Linked DNA regions of Astyanax mexicanus. The protein of the gene in region 2 purifies or fractionates together with the protein of the main gene of each other region. This does not show direct contact. Links are inferred from orthologs where the notes say so. Each region holds a gene or a part of one and is shown on either strand. Other genes may lie near its edges. The genes, in order: cfap410 and nek1.

Evidence for each region.
Region 1: the proteins of nek1 (region 2) and cfap410 purify together in Homo sapiens (affinity purification with mass spectrometry; 3 studies listed by BioGRID and IntAct, with this or other methods). This does not show direct contact. The link is inferred for Astyanax mexicanus from reciprocal best matches to the Homo sapiens genes NEK1 and CFAP410.

The regions. Positions count from the first base shown.
Region 1 is NC_064423.1:30,241,982-30,245,915, reverse strand, and holds the start of cfap410 (cilia and flagella associated protein 410), read right to left. Parts: upstream 2,536-3,934; 5' UTR 2,414-2,535; coding exon 2,337-2,413; intron 1,434-2,336; coding exon 1,415-1,433; intron 1,278-1,414; coding exon 1,231-1,277; intron 1,136-1,230; coding exon 906-1,135; intron 731-905; coding exon 583-730; intron 1-582. UniProt on the Homo sapiens protein: Plays a role in cilia formation and/or maintenance. Plays a role in the regulation of cell morphology and cytoskeletal organization. Involved in DNA damage repair.
Region 2 is NC_064408.1:51,274,622-51,278,555, forward strand, and holds the start of nek1 (serine/threonine-protein kinase Nek1), read right to left. Parts: upstream 2,866-3,934; 5' UTR 2,753-2,865; intron 1-2,752. UniProt on the Homo sapiens protein: Phosphorylates serines and threonines, but also appears to possess tyrosine kinase activity. Involved in DNA damage checkpoint control and for proper DNA damage repair.

The DNA.
Region 1 (3,934 bases), on a different chromosome or scaffold from region 2:
ATGACTATTTTTTAAACTGTAGTGTGGCTGAATATGGTTTGGAACACAGCCCTGCTAAAACTGAGCATCAAAGAGAAAAAGTGTAAGCAGATCTGCACCAAGACCATAATAAAGTGTGCAATGCTGACACTGAGACATATTTGGGTAAACATTTCTGTACTTAAATATTGTTTAAAAACTATTTCTACTACTAGCCAAGACATGGACTGAAATATTTAAACATTCCAGGCTTTAAATTAATTCAATTATGGTGTTTAGCTAGATTTAAATGATATGAATGTATGCTGAAATGTGTCAGAAACCGTATAAGAAAATCTATGCAGTACCTAAGAGAGCCTGAATTAAATATGTGATGGTTAAAGCCTGCAGAAGGCACATTGCTGGAGTTTTCCATTAGATATTAGCAACTAACATGCTACAAATGCCCTTAGGCTTTACGTGTATTATTTTAGTACACTGGGCTACATCAATTTCACACATTATATATACATCGTCATGTGTATATTTAACATATACGTGTCAGAGACTTAAAGCACTTGATTATTAAATTATGTGAGTATATTTAAAACAATCCAAACCTACTTGGTCTCCTCCATACTGTAATTAAGGGGGTCATTCTCAGAGTCTGCTTCTGTAAGGCCATTGGTGGAACAGGCTGAAATGGGATCTGGAGGGGTGACCATTTCTTCACCTTCTTCCAAAGCAATTGCAAGTTCCTCCTCTGTCACAACTTGAGAAATGAGATGGTTTTGTTAAAAGAACAGTAGTTTGTAAGATAACAACAAGTGAAAGCATGTAGTGGCCATGATATGTGTGCTGACATTCTACTTGTCTCAATAAAAACTGAATCAATTACTTGACAACAAGCAGAAAACAAAACACTAAAACACTGGGGTCTTACCCACCCTGGTTGTCCAGTTTGTGCAGGCCAGGCAGATTCTTCAGCACTGTCAGACGGTAGTTAACTGGGTCATCTTCACAACATGGATTCTCTGCCAGCCACAGAACCTTGAGGCTGGAAAGGTTTCGGAGGTGGCTAAGCTCTGAGAGGTTCTGGATGTTATTCCGCCTCAAGTAGAGCTCTGTCAGATTCTGACAGTTGGAGATGTGTTCCAGGGAGGATATATTATTGGCACTGAGAAGGAGAAATAGATCAAAATTATGACATTGGATAGATGGAGTATAAGCATAGTGGTTTAAATTGTTTGAAGTAAAGTATAGCCAACATACCTTAATGTTAAGACCTCAATGTTGGGTATTTCTGAGAATATTGAGATCTGAGGATGTACACAGTCACAATGAGATATAGAGGTATAAGAATGTATAAAATGTTGTTTTAGGAAAAAAAGACTAAAACATGTTGAATAAGATACACTATATAATACACTAACAAACACATGAACACAGTACTTACATCTGTCAGGTTGCAGCCCCTGTAACATATAGATAAAGTAAGTAACATTAAAGCTACAGTATTTTTTTATTTTTTTTAGCTTTTTTCGTGTATCTGAAGATTTACAGTACACACAATAATGAATACAAAGGCCATACCCTTTAGATGAACTATTTCAGATGTAAAATTAAATAACAGCAAGAATAGAGTATAACATCACTGTAATGCAGTCTTTTCTCAATTTTGTTTTTTTTTTTCTTCCACTTTTTGTCATAAATCAAGCAGTTGAAAACATTTATTGATGAATTTGCAAATATAAAAAAATACAATAAAAATTGCTTTGCCTGGACTGCGACTGAGAGTTAAAAAGGTTTATTTATCAACGTTTATTCAGCATTTGCACAAGGTAAGAAACACAAGGTTGAAGGGGACGGCTTACAAATAAAATTAATTGTGAAAATGGAACCTGAGTTTAATTATATGTATAGAGGAGTGAATACTTTTGGCAATATAGTGTATGTTAGATCAAACATAGTCAAATATATTGTGATTGTATTGTTCATGTATATAAGTTATTTGAAAGATTAATAAAGTGAAGCCTAAACATTTTACCTGCAATGTGAATGAAATGAAATTAGGTCCATAACACATTATGTTAATAATTTTAGGAAGAAGCACAAGACAAATAATTCTTATGTAGTGTTTTAACTAGTTAACCTTTCCTGTGGTTCACTGCCATTTTTATTTGGTAAATTAGCAGGTAAAACGACTTTCAGCTTTTTATTATCGTGATAAATCTGTATCGTATCGTATTAATATTATTACTTAGCTGTGGCTGTATCGTATCGTGCTGTAAACAGGCTTCAGACCGTTACTAGGACACCCATCATGTTTGTTAGCTAAAGCGTTAGCGAGCTGCTAAACACACACAGCTAAAACATACCAGCAGTTCAGCTTTTTCACACTCTCCAGGTCCGAAGCTTTGGCCCGCGCCAGGACAAGTTTCCGAGTTAATTTCATTGTAATTGTATAGTTTATTTCACTTTATTTGCTCTAAAATGTCCAAGCAGCAGCAGCAGCACGTTAGCACAGCTGCCATCGCATCCTTTAGCCTACAGTCAGGAGTCAAAAGTGCGCATGCGTGCACATGCACCTCCAAGCATAGGCGCTAGATAGCACTATTGTACTGAGTTTGTGCTCCATTATAAATATTATCATTATTATGTTCAAATCATTTTTTAGGCTTTGTAATCTAACTCACCCAGCACACTTTATATCATTTATATCATCACCTCGCTTTAAATTGTTACTTCACATCTCTGCCTCTTGGTTGGTAAAGGACTTTTTTATTTTAGTTTTTATTGTATCATTTTAATAGCTTGGAAAAGAAAAAAAATGTGAAATTGAAATTAAAATGTAAAAAAGTAGCTTAAGCATGATATATAACAACTTCTTTTTTTTTAAGATTTCATTTCAATTTCATTTTCAAAGCTATTAAAACTAATTAGAAAAGTTATGAAAATGAAATAAAAATGGAAAAGAAGTAACTAAAACATTGTATGTGTAAATATTTAAACATTATAATGTATATAATCGTACATAAGGACAGGTTTAATTTTGCTTTTAATAAACAGATAAAAAGTGCAGTACTTTATTTGTATTTATAATATACTGGTAGGGTAGTAAAAATCTTGCAGCAATCCCTTCATTCCAGTACAATGGACACACAATAGTTAACAATGGTCATGCAATATTATAATATTTTATAATTAAAATATTTTAACTATTTCATTTTAAAGGCTGCAATGAGCCTGCTTCAATGCAAAAATATTTTTACCCATTAAAACACTCTGTCTCAGGACAGAGGAGGTTCATTCATGTTCTGTGTAGCTTTTGAGTAAATTAAAATGTAAAATGAAATGTTCTTCAACAAATGTATTTGCTATTAATAAATCAATCAATAAATAAATAAAAATAGTATTAACACAAATATCACTCTGTACTGTCCTGTACTGGTGTGAAGGCCCTGCAGAAAGGCTTATCATCATGAAGAGCCTGACATGTGTTATTAGAGATAGAGGCTCTCCTGCCCCACTTAAAATCCCTTCAGACACTTCATATTACATTTTTTACATTCTCGTCTGGTGTATTATTAACCCATGCCTTTGCAAAACGGAAATAAATAATAACACCTGGCCTGTACAGCAGCTTTATATAAAGTTAATAACAAATTAAATATTACGTTTAGGCATTTCATTTATTTATAGTGGTTTATTGCGTGTACATCCAGATCAGCTCTGCATTTTTCTATAGCATATTTTTCTATGCTGTTTGGAGTATGGTTGAAAATATTTTAACTATTTAATGTGTGTTTTTTATTATGCAGTGAATATTAAACCATCACTGAATGAAGAATGATGCAGTGATATGCCACGCATTGCACTAGCAGGGGGAAAAAACGTGCAGAACGTGCAGAAGCAGACAAGTGATGGCAACGATTCAGTTTACTGAACCGATTCTTCAGACCAAGGAATCGAAACT
Region 2 (3,934 bases):
GTGAAGGAAACCAGGTTTTTCCACTACTCTTAAGGTCATTAAGGGTGTATATAATATATATATATATATATATATATATATATATATATATATATATATATATATATATATATATATATATATATATATATATATACACACACACACACACACACACACACACACACACAAACACACGTGTCACACATTACATGTCCTCTAAGAAGTAAAGATCCTGTGTTTAAACTATTCAGTACAATTATTTAAGTTTAAATTATTTAATATCTGATAAACTGAGTCTGAGTCTGGGTCAGTGTCTGATCAACAACTGTTGTAAACGTCCGTTTTACTGCCAAGTTGGTATATAACCAGATAGAGGGGATTTATTTCTGAGTCTGGTTTTAACATATGAAAAACAGGCACGTCAGAATTTGAAAATTAACGCATGTAAATGAATGGCGTCTTTCACATCCAGTCCGGCGAGCACCTTTACACGGACACGTGAATCCGTCGTAGCACGCACTTCACGCCTGTACCTGCGTGCCCAAATTTCGGATAACTCAGCGCTTTTGCGGGCGCTTACCGCATGGGTTGTGCACGACTACAAAGAGATTTTATTTATGTTCAGATTAAAATTATAAACTAAACACATACTTTGCGCTGCACGGCGGGGTGGTGTTCTTGGAGATGGGAGAACAGGTTTGACGTATGTCCACCTTTAGCTGTGACTTTACGGCCACATTGATTATAAATCGGATAACCATCCTCGGGTGCGTTCGGCGGGTCTCTGAAATAGTCCCACACTGCTGATTTTAGTTTAGCCTTTTTTTAGGCGGACGGAGATTTGTTTAGTCTGATGCACTTTCTGCTGTTCTCACCGCTGTGTGCTGAGCAGCTGAAGCGGAGCAGAGTTGCGCATGCGCGGGTGAGTTTCTCCGCTGGCTTGCGTTTTACCGGTAATAAGCAAACACACACGGTATGATAACCGTGCATTTTAATACCATGGTATACCGTGAAACCGGTTACCGCTGCAACCCTACTAGATACTAGATATTTTTTCAGATTTGTAACAAGTCAATGATCCATAATGTCATGATACTAATAATGCACTTTAAATATCTCCATATATCCAGAACTAAAGTAAAATGAATGATACTGGCCAGATATAATCTGTCTTTAGTAAATACATCATGCCAAATATTGCTAAAGTATACCCTGATGTAATACTAAGGGGTGGGTGATATGGCACGATATTTCAGGGTATAATGACGTTTACGATATACAAAAATGTTGGCAATATGAATGCGTACGGTATAATATGACACACCTCTATTCTGGAGTACATAGGAATTGGGGACCAATGTAAATATCTAATAACCTAAAAAACATATATACACAGCTCTGGAAAAAAATGAGACCATTTAAAAATTATGAGTTGTTTTGATTTTACTTAATTGAAAACCTCTGGAATATAATCAAGAGGAAGAGAAATGATCATGAGCCATCAACCCAAGCTTAACTGCTTAAATGTTTGCACCATGAGTGGCATAAAATTATCCCAAAGCAGTGTGTAAGACTGGTGGAGAAGAAACATGCCAAGATGCATGAAAACTGTAGTTAAAAACCAGTCTTTTTTCAGAGCTGTGTACAATGTACAATGTGTACAATGTACAACAATCAGTCAATCAAAACATATGTCCAACAGTGAAAAAGTTTTTTTTTTAATACACATCATAGCACAAAAACTAAACACAACTAAATAAACAAATAAACGTGAAGCAGATTTCATCCTGTATGCTCACTTCCCAATTACTAAGCCATTCTACCTCATTACACAACATATTTAATGCCTGGCATCGAGAGTTAACTTGAACATCCTTGTATCTGGTCCAGTATGGGTTATAAATCAGTTTATTTCTCGTTAAGCCAGAGTACTGCCCTGCGGAGGGGCTCTGGTTCCTCCCATTGAAACGAAGGTTAAATATAGACGCCCTGCAGACTCCCAGATAGCACCTTATTACAATTTCCATCTGCTCTGTGCACTGACCAGAGCAGCTTTGAGCTTTAGAAAGAATCTAACCCACGAAAGGCAACATAGAGATATTAAATGAAAGAGCAGTGTGTTAAGAAAGGAATCAAAAGCAACCGAAAAAGCAGGAGAACACACTGTGCAAATGGGCTGCTGAATTAAAGATGATGTGTCAAAAATAATTATCCAATGGCCTTTTATCTCTCAAGTTATAAAGGGAGGGACCTAGACAGATGTGAGCTACAGCAAACAAATATTTTTAATTTTACTGTCTGAAAGTGCAATCAATTAGGCACTTCGAAATTCTGTTAATGTGTAACGTTAGGCCATATAGGACTATAAGAGGAGGGGGCATCTAGTTCATCGGTTTTAAAGCGACAGGAGGAGTTATAGGAGTGTGGGGGTGCAGCTGCAGCAGCATGATGATGATGATACTACTGAATTAGCCCACTCAGGTAAAGCGTGGTAAAGTATTGGTTAGGCAATTAAGATACCAAACCGTGCAGCAGGATCATAACACAGACCCTTAAGCGCTCCCTTAGCTAACAAGAATCATCCTCAGCAGCAGATCAACTGTTAACTGGTTAGTTTACCGCTAGCTAACTAATTACCGTCTTCTGCTCGCCAGCCAGCCCGCTAACATGGCTGCTTATATACCGCTGCTGAAACCCTCAGTTCATCAGCTGCTGAGGCACCGGCGCTGTTATATGAGGACTAAACAGTGAAGAAAGAGAAAGGCTGTACCTGCCCGTCTGTAGAGTGAAGAAGCTCCTACAGCTCCAAACCGCCACATTCAGCTCTGTTACTCTGCTCAACCAAGCCGCCTCTATAGCCTGACGCGATTAAGAAACACAGCTGTCTTATTGGTTGAGCGCTTGAGTTCTGTGTTCTGATTGGTCCGCTGATCTGTCAATCGATCACGCAGCCGACAATGGGTTAGGTTGTGAATGTTTGGTGGGAAATCTCTCCTAGCAACCGTCACCGGCTGGTACAAGAGACTGAACACAGAAGTACTATAATAATAATAATAATAATAATAATAATAATAATAATAATAATAATAATAATAATAATAATAATAATAATATAGCCGCAAGCGGCGATTTACGGGGTTCGAGCGTTACAGGCAAAGAGACCTCTGGAGGCCAGTTAGGCTTAAAACATGTTGCCGGTTGACCGGCATCGCCAAACTGGATGAGGATGACCAGCATGACCGTGAAGACCAAGCTAGATTACCAGCATGACTAATCTGGATGACAAACTTGTTGACCATATTGACCAAGCTGGAAGACCATAATGACCAGACTGGATGACCAGCATGGCAAAGGTGGTTGGCCAGTATGACCAAGCTGGAAGACCACCATTACTATGAGGACAAAGCTGAATGACCAGCAGGACCATAATTACCAATGTGAATGGCCAGCATGACCAAGCTGGATGGCCAGCATAACCAAGCTGGGTGACCAGCGTGACCATAAAGACCATAATGGCAATGCTAGATGAGTGGTGTGAGTAAACTAGTTGAAAAGCATTGATAAATTGAGCTGTAGTGTTCATCAGGTTTTATGTGGTGTCTTACTGCACTCTAGTGCGCATTTGGTGAAACAAATTCAGTTCTTAAATTGAAAAAACACAAGGCATAAAAAGGGCATATAAATAACCCGTATATAGTATATAAGTTTTGACCTGATTAACATTCTGCCTGTTAAAAGCTTGCTGGAATGTGATTGGCTAATAGTGACCACAAAAGTGTCCATATCAAATTTTCATTTGGTGTACCATTAGTGCATGGGCCACAGATGATAATTGGCTAGGATGACCTTGATAGCTTGTATGGTTCTAGAGAAACAGCTATCGAGTGTTATAAGTGTTAAAGACATTTTACTGCACCATGGTAGAACTCATTTGCATATGGCGGCCATATTG